Macaca fascicularis: one gene and its partners. The protein of the gene in region 3 purifies or fractionates together with the protein of the main gene of each other region. This does not show direct contact. Links are inferred from orthologs where the notes say so. Each region holds a gene or a part of one and is shown on either strand. Other genes may lie near its edges. The genes, in order: CBX1, ASF1B and CHAF1A.

Evidence for each region.
Region 1: the proteins of CHAF1A (region 3) and CBX1 purify together in Homo sapiens (affinity purification with mass spectrometry; 4 studies listed by BioGRID and IntAct, with this or other methods). This does not show direct contact. The link is inferred for Macaca fascicularis from reciprocal best matches to the Homo sapiens genes CHAF1A and CBX1.
Region 2: the proteins of CHAF1A (region 3) and ASF1B purify together in Homo sapiens (co-immunoprecipitation; 7 studies listed by BioGRID and IntAct, counting the BioPlex papers as one, with this or other methods). This does not show direct contact. The link is inferred for Macaca fascicularis from reciprocal best matches to the Homo sapiens genes CHAF1A and ASF1B.

What each region holds. Positions count from the first base shown.
Region 1 is NC_088390.1:58,660,134-58,663,708, forward strand, and holds the end of CBX1 (chromobox protein homolog 1), read left to right. Parts: intron 1-1,533; coding exon 1,534-1,678; 3' UTR 1,679-3,052; downstream 3,053-3,575. UniProt on the Homo sapiens protein: Component of heterochromatin. Recognizes and binds histone H3 tails methylated at 'Lys-9', leading to epigenetic repression. Interaction with lamin B receptor (LBR) can contribute to the association of the heterochromatin with the inner nuclear membrane.
Region 2 is NC_088393.1:14,543,090-14,546,410, forward strand, and holds part of ASF1B (histone chaperone ASF1B), read right to left. Parts: intron 2,378-3,321; coding exon 2,262-2,377; intron 1-2,261. UniProt on the Homo sapiens protein: Histone chaperone that facilitates histone deposition and histone exchange and removal during nucleosome assembly and disassembly. Cooperates with chromatin assembly factor 1 (CAF-1) to promote replication-dependent chromatin assembly.
Region 3 is NC_088393.1:5,174,224-5,177,873, reverse strand, and holds part of CHAF1A (chromatin assembly factor 1 subunit A), read right to left. Parts: coding exon 3,481-3,650; intron 2,581-3,480; coding exon 2,117-2,580; intron 652-2,116; exon of another isoform or gene 502-651; intron 1-501. UniProt on the Homo sapiens protein: Acts as a component of the histone chaperone complex chromatin assembly factor 1 (CAF-1), which assembles histone octamers onto DNA during replication and repair.

The DNA of each region.
Region 1 (3,575 bases), on a different chromosome or scaffold from region 3:
TCTTGGGTCCATTGTTCAAAAACATAGGTTATCAGCTTACTCTTCTGCTCCATGGGACTGTGTGGCTCTGGTTTCCTGTTGTTGAGGTTTTGGAGATTTGGGGTGGTGCTTTGTCAGAGATCTCATCAGGTGTCTCCTACTTGCCTTATGCTACTGCTTCTGTCTAGGACATGCCTAGTAACCTGAAGACAATAGTTTTTGGGGTTTTTTTTGTTTTTTTTTTTAAATGAGACAGAGTCTCGCTGTGTCACCCAGGCTGGAGTGCAGTGGGGTGATCTATGTTCACTACAACCTCCACCTCCCAGGTTCAAGCTATTCTTGTGCCTCAGCCTCCCGAGTAGCTGGAATTACAGGCACACGCCACCATGCCTGGCTAATTTTTGTATTTTTAGTAGCAACGGGGTTTTGCCATGTTGACCAGGCTGGTCTCGAACTCCTGGGCCTGCCCACCTTGGCCTCCCAAAGTGCTGGGATTATAGGCATGAGCTACTGCTCCCGGCCTCAGAGTTTACTCCTAATTCCCTTATAATGTGTGTGATTTTCAAATTTTGAAAACATTTTAAAATTTAGAAAAATACAGCTCCCTCATTTCCTACCTCCCAATGTTGAAACATCATTTCAAAGCACCTGGAAGTTGTGTGAGGATAGCATTTGGAAGTGTCAGTGTAATTACGATTATGCAAAAATGTGTCCACCTTCATTTGCTCTGGCCAATGCCAGATGTGGTATTTAATCCTATTACAGGCCGGGCGTGGTGGCTCATGCCTGTAATCCCACTTTGGGAGGCTGAGGCAGGTGGATCACCTGAGGTCAGGAGTTCAAGATGAGCCTGGCCAATATCTTTCGTAAAGATGGCAAAACCCCATCTCTACTAAAAATATAAAAATTAGCCGGGCATGGTGGTGTGCACCTACAATCCTAGCTACTAGGGGAGGCTGAGGCAGGAAAATCGCTTGAACCCAGGAGGCGGAGGTTGTGGTGAGCCGAGATCACGCCACTGTACTCCAGCCTGGGCAACAGAGTGAGACTCCATCTCAAAAAAAAAAAAAAAAAAAAAAAAGTCCTATGACAAAGCCAGGATTTCTCCGTGGGTTCTTACCAGCTGGGATATGGCTTTTGGAGGAGTGTGGTATCTTCTCTTCCCTCAGAGAATCTAGATAGCCTCTCTTCCTTCAGAGAATCTAGATAGCCTCTCTTCCTTCAGAGAATCTAGATAGCCTCTCTTCCTTCAGAGAATCTAGAGAGTCATGCTTTTGGGGGCCTTGCCCAGATGTTCAGATGTGATCGGTTAAGTCCATTGACCTTACTTTTGACATACACGAATCCCAAGAGGGAATTTTCAACAGGAGAGGATGTCACTCTGAGGATGTCACTTAACATAAAATTGCCAGTAAATGCTGCTTGGGCCACATTTTCGTTGTTCCCTAGCCAATTTTATAAAATTACTATTTTTAAAGCACTATCCCCTGGGTTAGTGCTTAGGATAGACCACCAGCACCTGGTCTCAAAGTCTCTCTTTGCTTTATTCTGCAGGAAAAACTCTGATGAGGCTGACCTGGTCCCTGCCAAGGAAGCCAATGTCAAGTGCCCACAGGTTGTCATATCCTTCTATGAGGAAAGGCTGACGTGGCATTCCTACCCCTCGGAGGATGATGACAAAAAAGATGACAAGAATTAACGCTCCTGAGTACCAGCCCCTGTCACATCTGACTGGGTTTCAAGTGGGAAGGGAAGGAGTTCTACTTGTCTTGACACCATAGAGGTGGCTTGAGAAGATGTCCTTTGAAGAGCCAGTATAGTTTCTGTGCCCTGCAGCAGCCCAAGTGCTTTAAAGCCGTTTCAAGCTGTATAGTTTGCACACCCATCCCAGTGGAGGGGAAAGGGGATAAGTGTTTCAAGGCAATCTTTTCTGCACTTTGCTGAGAAAAGCAAAGGGCCTTCTATGAAGGACAAAACTTGCAGAATTGGGTGTGTGGGAGAGCAAAAAAATACTGTAGATCTTCAAAGAGCATCTCCACAACCCACAGCCTTCTTCCCAATAGTGTTAACTCTGCATTTTTACAGCGTAGCATGTGTGTAGTCTTTGGCTATTACTGGTGTATTATTTGGGGGAGGGATGGGGAGGGGAGAAAGGGAGATGGGTAGCATCACTTTGATTAACATTTGGGGCCTGATAGGGGAAATGGTGAAGCAATGGAAAAGAACAGACAACTAATGATTTGCTTCTATGTCCAGAATATTTTACCTTAAAAAAAAAAAAAAAAAAAGTCATTGGCACCATAAATAAGGACTGTGAGAGACTGTTTAAAAGCTGTGAATGTCTGAAACCTATAAGCCAAGGTGTTCCCTGCCTAAACTTATTGCTGTTCCCACAAAGGACTAAGCCAGTTCATAAGTTACCAAAGTTGCCATTTTGGAGATGGAAATTGATGAGGAGGGAGGAAAGTCTTTTATTGGAGAGTATACAGTACAAGCAGATCATTCTGTCTCAGAGGTGCTAATAAAATTAGAAGACCCTTTCTTTTCCAGTAACGAAGTTATAAATATCAGCTTGTTCATCCAAGCCACTGGCTGAGGTGTTAGGGAAGAGGAAGAGGGTGGTAGAGGAGATAAGACAGTAGGGAAAGACAAGGGCCCGTGCTCTTAGTGGGGAAACCTCTTGGAGCTGTTCTCTTTTTTGAGCTTTGAACTCTGAAACCATTGTTGGCTTCAGTCACTGACAGCACAAGTTTCACTGAATTGATCTAAGAGTTTAGTGATTTCAAAAGCCTTGGTCTCAGGAGAAGATTAAACTTCCATATTGGGCAGTGGTTCACTTTAAAACACACACACACACACAATTTTTTAAGAAATCCTAAGAAGTAACTGATACCCAAAATGCTCTGTCTTGAGTCATGAGATCCATCAGTTTTTGATATTGTCTAGACTTGCATCTAGAGCTACATTGTAAAATCCTTTTAGGCATGTGTTAGATTTCTGTGTAAACTTTGTTTAAATGTAAACTTCATACTACACTGTCAGTTTTTGTCTTAATAAAACTATAGATTTATAATCCCTGATTTCTGTCTTAAGTCTTACCAGGAACTCTTCTTGCCTTATAGGTTCAGCCTGTTGGAAATGGCTTCCTCACTTGGATGGTTTTATTTCTTGAACACTGTAGGCTTGAAAATCTAGTGTCTGGCCTGAATCTTTAAGTGGTCGCACCATATTAATTTAGTAAATACTTAATAGGCATTTATCAGGTGCTGCAGAGATTGTAAAGATGGTCGCATCATGCTGTCTTCAGTATTGCCAAAAGTTTATTGAGCACTCTGACCTGACAGCACTTCCAAACTATGGTACATTTGGAAACATGGGTTTTTAAGTTAGGTTTAGATCCTGCCTCTGGTATGTAATAGATTATATGACCTAAAATCTACTTCTCCAAAATTTTCCAGGAATTGGCCCCGTGTTTGAGCACTGACTTAAAATGTCATTTTTTGCCTATGATTTTTTTTTTCCTTTGTGAGACAGGGTCTTGCACTGTCACCCAGGCTGGAGTACAGTGGTGTGATCTTGGCTCACCACAACCTCTG
Region 2 (3,321 bases), about 9.4 Mb from region 3:
AATTTTTGTAGTTTCAGTAGAGTTGGGGTTTCGCCATATTGGTCAGGCTGGTCTTGAACTCCTGACCTCAAGTGATCCACCCATCTTGGACTCCCAAAGTGTTGGGATTACAGGCATGAGCCACCGCCCCCAGCCTTTTTTTTTTTTTTTTTTTTTTTTTTGTTACGGAGTCTTGCTCTCTCTCTCCCAGTCTGGAGTGCAGTGGCATGATCTTGGCTCACTGCAAGCTCTGCCTCCAGGGTTTACGCCATTCTCCTGCCTCAGCCTCCCAAGTAGCTGGGACTACAGGCGCCCGCCACCACACCCAGCTAATTATTTTGTATTTTTTAGTACAGACGGTGTTTCACCGTGTTAGCCAGGATGGTCTCCATCTCCTGACTTCATGATCCGCCCGCCTCGGCCTCCCCAAGTGCTGGGATTACAGGCGTGAGCCACCGTGCCCAGCCTACACCCAGCTAATTGTTTTTATTTTTTCTAGAGATGGGGGTCTTGCTATGTGGCCAGGCTGGTCTGGAACTCCTGGCCTTAAGCAATCCTCCTGCCTCTGCCTCCCAAAGTGCTGGAAGCCACCACACCCAGCCAGAATCTACATTTGACAACTCAGGCAGGGTGCTGCATGAGAGCCACTTAGGAGTTACGGTCTATCCTCATTCATTATTCATGGGGTCCATATGTGCAAGTTCACCTACCTGCTACATTTATTTGTAACCCCAAGATGAATACCTGCGGTGCTTCCACGGTCACTTGCAGACATGCACAGAACAGGGAAAAGCTAGAGTTACCTACCACGCCTGTTCCTACCTGAGGTCAAACAAGGCAACGCTCTGTCTTTTGGTCTCAGTTCTTACTGTGAATGAGCATCCTTTCCTCAGCCTACTTAGTGCTACCTTTTTTCCATGTTTTGTGCTTTTTGTTGGTGAGTTTGCTGTCTATGATGGCACCCAAAGGTAGTGCTGAAGTGCAGTGTAGGGTGCAAAAAAGGCCTTATGGAAAAAATGTGTATTAGAGAAGCTTCATTCAGGAGAGTTACAGTGCTGTTGGCTGTGAATTCAACATAAATGAACCACAGTATATATTAAATAAGGTGTCTTTTTTTTCTTTTTTTTTGAGATAAGTCTCTCGCTATATCACACAGGCTGGAGTGTACCGGTGTGATCTCAGCTCACTGCAATCTCCACCTCCCGGGTTCAAGCGATTCTCCCACCACACCTGGCTAATTTCTGTATTTTTAGTATAGATACGGTTTCACCATGTTGGCCAGGCTGGTCTCGAACCCCTGACCTCAGGCGATCCACCCACCTCAGCCTCTCAAAGTGCTGGGATTATAGGTGTGTGCCACCATACCCGGCCTGGTGTCTTTCAACAGCAACACACATACAAGTTTACGTATTGACTGGCTGACGAAAACGTGACTTCCAACAATCTAAGCTTGTATTTACCCTGGGGCAATGGTTCAGTACTCACTAAATCAGTGTTCGCGGCAACTTTATAGAACATAACTCTTGTGAATAACGAGAATTGACTGTAAATCAGTGGCAGCTTTGACACAGAGGTGGGGGAAGGGAGGGCCTGAGAGCCTCTGAGAGGTCAGATAGTTCCTGACAGTAGAACTAGGATTTGAACCTGAACTTTAAAATTTTTTTTTAATTGATTGATTGACACAGGGTCTCAACTCTTTTCTTTTTTTTTTTTTTTGAGACAGAGTCTCACTGTATTACCCAGGCTGGAGTGCAACGGTGTGGTCTTGGCTCACTGTAGCTTCCACCTCCCAGGTTCAAGTGATCCTCCCATTTCAGCCTCCCAAGTGGCTGAGACTACAGGCGTACACCACTATGCTCTGCTGATTTTTAAGTTTTTTGTAGAGCTGGGGTCTCACTATATTGCCCAGGCTGGTCTCAAACTCCTGGCCTCAAGCAGTCCTGCCACCTTGGCCTCCCAAAGTGCTGGGATTACAGGTGTGAGCCACTGTACCCGGCCTCTGTTTTTTTAATACTTGTTTTTTCCTTTTTTTAGAGACAGGGTCTCACTGTGTTGTCTAGGCTGGAGTGCAGTGGCTCAATCATAGTTCACTGCAGGCTCGGACTCCTGGGCTCAAGCAATCCTCTCACCTCAGCCCCTGGAGTAGCTGGGTCTATAGGCGTGAGCCTCTGTGCCCAGCTGAACTTGAACTTTTGATTCCTGAAGCACTCTGTGGGATTTCAGGTAAAAGAAGATGTTTCTAGGAGTCAAGAGCTAAAGGCCTAAGGCCTCATCTTTCTTACCTGAAAGACAAACATGTGTCTCCCTGCTGGTACAGGGCCCACCAGCACCGAGTCTAGGATCTGATCAAACTCCTCACTCTCAGCGGAGCCAACATAAATGATCTTCCACTCCAGGTCTGCAAAGACATAGGAGGGTTAATGAATTGAAATAGCTCAACAGCAACAAGGCAGGGAAAGGCTCTTGTATTCATTTTTCTTTTTTTTTTCTTTTTTTTTTTTTTTGAGACGGAGTCTCGCTCTGTCACCCAGGCTGGAGTGCAGTGGCCGGATCTCAGCTCACTGCAAGCTCCGCCTCCCGGGTTCACGACATTCTCCTGCCTCAGCCTCCAGAGTAGCTGGGACTACAGGCGCCTGCCACCTCGCCCGGCTAAGTTTTTGTATTTTTAGTAGAGACGGGGTTTCACTGTGTTAGCCAGGATGGTCTCGATCTCCTGACCTCGTGATCCGCCCGTCTCGGCCTCCCAAAGTGCTGGGATTACAGGCTTGAGCCACCGCGCTCGGCCTCATTTTTCTTTTTTGAGATGGAGTCTCATTCTGTCATCCAGGCTAGAGTACAGTGATGCGATCTCGACTCACTGCAACCTCCGCCTCCCAGATTCAAGTGATTCTTGTACCTCGGCCTCCCGAGTGGCTGGGATTATAGGTGCCTACTGCCACACCTAGCTAATTTTTTTTTTCTTTTTTGAGATGGAATTTCACTCGTCACCCAGGCTGCAGTGCAATGGTGTGATCTCGGCTCACTACAATCTCTGCCTCCCAGGTTCAAGTGATTCTCCTGTCTCAGCCTCCCGAGTAGCTGTGATTATAGGCGCCTGCCACCATGCCTGGCTAATTTTTGTATTTTTAGTGAGAGGGTTTCACCATGTTGGTCAGGCTGGTTTAGAACTCCTGACCTCAGGTGATCCACCCGCCTTGGCCTCCCAAAATGCTGGGATGACAAGTGTGAGCCACTGTACCCGGCTTTTTTTTGTATTTTTAGTAGAGATGGGGTTTCACCATGTTGGCCAAGCTGGTATCCAACTCCTGACTTCAAGTGATCTGCCTGCCTCAGCCTTCCAAA
Region 3 (3,650 bases):
GCAAGGGGATTGCTTAAGCCCAGGAGTTGGAGACCAGCCTGGGCAACATGGTGAAACCCTGTCTCTACAAAAAATTAGCTGGGTGTGGTGGCATGCACCTGTAGTCCCTCTCAGCTACACAGGAGGCTGAGGCGGGAGAATCGCCTGAGACTGGGGAGGTCAAGGCTGCAGTGAGTGGTGATCTTACCACTGCACTACAGCCTAGGCAACAGAGTAAGACTCCCGACTCAAAAAACACAACAAAACAAAACAAAACAAAAAAAAAAAAAAAGAGAGAAACTCAGTTACGAACAGTGTGATAAGGACAAAAAGTATGCAATGAATGTTACTAAAGCTGATCTATGGCCAGGGGTGGGTGCCAGGGGCCACTGGCTCTATGGGCATGGGAGTTTTTTCCTAAGATCAGGCAGTGCCCCCACCACACACCCCATGGCTCCATGCACTTGTGCCTCTGAGGCACCCATGAGGCTGGAATCACACAGCCATTCATTCCCCTTACAGGCTCCTGTCTGTGGCTTACACTGGGCGGCGTTGTGCATATCCCTGTGTCTGAAAGACCGATCAGAGTGCCTGGCACACAGTAAGTGCTTAATAACTGTGCTTGAATGCAAAATTCAAGAACCGTTGAACAAAAATAAAAATGCTACCACATGGGATATTATTCGGTGTGAAAAAAAAATGAGCTATCAAGCCACGAACAGACATGGGGGAACTGTCAATGCATACTGCCAAGTGAAAGGAGCCACACGCGGTGCGATTCCAGCTACGGGGCAATCTGGAAAAGGCCGGTCCACGGAGACAGAGAGGTTGGCGATTTCCAGGGGACTGGACGGACAGAGCACAGGGGCCTTTCGGCAGGGAGAGGCCTCTTTGTTCAGAACAATAAAGGTGGACGCACAGCATCCAACATCCATTCAAATCACAGAACCCTCTACACCAGGAACCAACCCTAACAGAGACCGTAGACTCTGGGTGGTGGTGATTTTATGTATTTATTTTTAGAGACAGGGTCTCGCGGTCGCCCAGGTTGCAGTGCAGTGGCATGATCATAGCTCACTGCAGCCTCAATCTCCTAGCCTCCAGCAATCCTCCCGCCTTAGTCTCCTGAGTAGCTGAGACTACAGATGCATGCCACCGCCACTGCTTGGCTAATTTTAAAATTTTTTCTTATAGAGATGGAGTTTTGTCATGTTGCCCAGGCTGGTCTCCAACTCCCAGGCTCAAGTGATCCTCCCACCTCGGCCTCCCAAAGTGCTGGGATAACAGGCTTAAGCCACAGTGCCCGGCCTGAGTGCAATGACTGTAACCAGTCCACTGCTCTGGAAGGTGATGTTGGTAACGCGTGGCTTGGCTTGGCTTTGGGGAAGGAGGTGTATGGGAACTTTCTGTACCTTCCAATCCATTTTGCTGTGACCCTAAAACTGCTCTAAGAGTAGTTTTAGGCTGGGCACAGTGGCTCAAGCCTGTAATCCCAGCACTTTGGGAGGCCGAGATGGGCGGATCACGAGGTCAGGAGATCGAGACCATCCTGGCTAACACGGTGAAACCCCATCTCTAAAAAATACAAAAAAACTGGCCAGGAGAGGTGGCAGGCGCCTGTTGTCCCAGCTACTCGGGAGGCTGAGGCAGGAGAATGGCGTAAACCCGGGAGGCGGAGCTTGCAGTGAGCCAAGATCTGGCCACTGCACTCCAGTCTGGGTGACAGAGCGAGACTCCGTCTCAAAAAAAAAAAAAAAGTAGTTTTAAAAAAACACAAAAGCGCCGGGCGAGGTGGCTCACGCCTGTAATCCCAGCACTTTGGGAGGCCAAGGCAGGTGGATCACGAAGTCAGGAGTTTGAGACCAGCCTGATCAACATGGTGAAACCCTGTCTCTACTAAAAATACAAAAATTAGCCAGGTGTGGTGGTGCACACCTGTAATCCCAGCTACTCAGGAGGCTGAGGCAGGAGAATCGCTTGAACCCGGGAGGTAGAGGTTGCAGTGAGCCGAGATCGCACCACTGCACTCCAGCCTGGGTGACACAGAGCAAGACTACATTTCAAAAATAAAACAAAACAACAAAAAACAAACAAAGAAAACCGCCCCCAGGGGCACCCACTGCCCGCCCCGCCTCACCTGGCCGTCGTGCCTGCGCTTCTTCATGAATTGGGTGATGCACATGCTGCCCGCTGACTTCCTCTTCAGTGAGATGGGAGTGCCCTGGCTGGGTCCCGTGGAGGGGACGCTGCCACTGTCCTCTCTGGGGGCCGAGGGCACTGAGGTCACGTAGCTCCACTGGCATGGCACGGGCAGGTGCTCCTGCTGGAAGCTCTGTAGCACCTGCGGGTGCACGTACCAGCACATCCTGAAGTCGGGCCGCTTCTCGTACACTGAGTTCTCGGAAATGAGCCGCTTGAGCCGGGACTTAGAGGGGATGGCAGCGTCCTCGCTGGTGGTGTGCAGGCAGGTAGCAGAGGGGCTTGGGGGGCTGCCGGTGTGCTTGCTGAGCAGTCCCCGGCGGCAGTGCTCCTGGAACTCCCGGATGATGACCTTGCTCCCGTTCACGTTGCCATGCAGGAGCGGCAGCAGCTGGGCCAGGACTGGCGGGAGGGAACATGGACGGGCATGAGGTTTGGGGAGCCACCTATCACCACAGGCCAAAAACCAAAACACACACAGCTCCTCCTCGCCACTGAGGCTCCGGGCATGGCCAGCTTCAGGGATAGGTGGCCTCATGAGGGCGGTCGTAAGACAGGGCAGCACCCACGCACCTGCCCAGAAGTGAGCCTTGGCTGGGCACATGCGTTGCCAGGGCTGACTTCAAATGCCTGCTGTTCCTACCCAAATGGCAGCCCTGCTCTCCTTGTGTGCCATAGTCCCTCCCCAGTTTTTTGAGTTTTTTTTTTTTTTTTTTTTTTAAGATGGGGTCTCGCTCTGTCACCCAGGCTGGAGTGCAGTGGCAGTATCATGGCTCACTGTAGTCTGGAACTCCTAGGCTCAAGCAATCCTCCCACCTCAGCCTCATGAGCAGCTGGGATCACAGGTGCATGAGACCATGCCCAGGTAATTTTGTATTTTCTGCAAAGATGAAGTTTTGCCATGTTGCCCAGGCTGGTGTCGAAGCACTAGGCTCAAGCGATCCTCCCACCTTGGCCTCCCAAAGTGCTGGAATCACAGTCTTGAGCCACTGTGCCCGGCCCCTCCCTGGCTTTTGAGAAAGCGTAGCCCCCACTCCAGCACACTCTGCGCCTGAGTCCTGGTTGATAAAACAAGCCTGGACCTGCCTCGTCCTGCCGCTGGGGACATCATCGAATGTACGGATGTGTGCGGGAAGAGGGCTGGCCTCTGTTATTTGTGGAAAGAACATTTGCATCATGGACCCACTAGCCTGTGAGACTCTTGCCCTCAGCCTTGAAATTAGCTGGGCCCAGGAACAGGTGGGTGGCCTGGCCACGCCCCTGAGAAGGGGAGGCCCTGCCTGAAGCCCCACCCACACTCACTCTGCTGGTCTCTGTTCTCCCGCTTGGAGGCCTTGGAGGCCTTGGGCGTCTGCTCCTCCTGGACAGGCACGGTCTCCAGGAAGCAGGCTGCGAACTGCTGCAGTACCTTCAGGTCGTCGCCTGCGCAGTCTCTGTCAGCTGCCCACACGCAGCCAATCTTGACGGGCTGC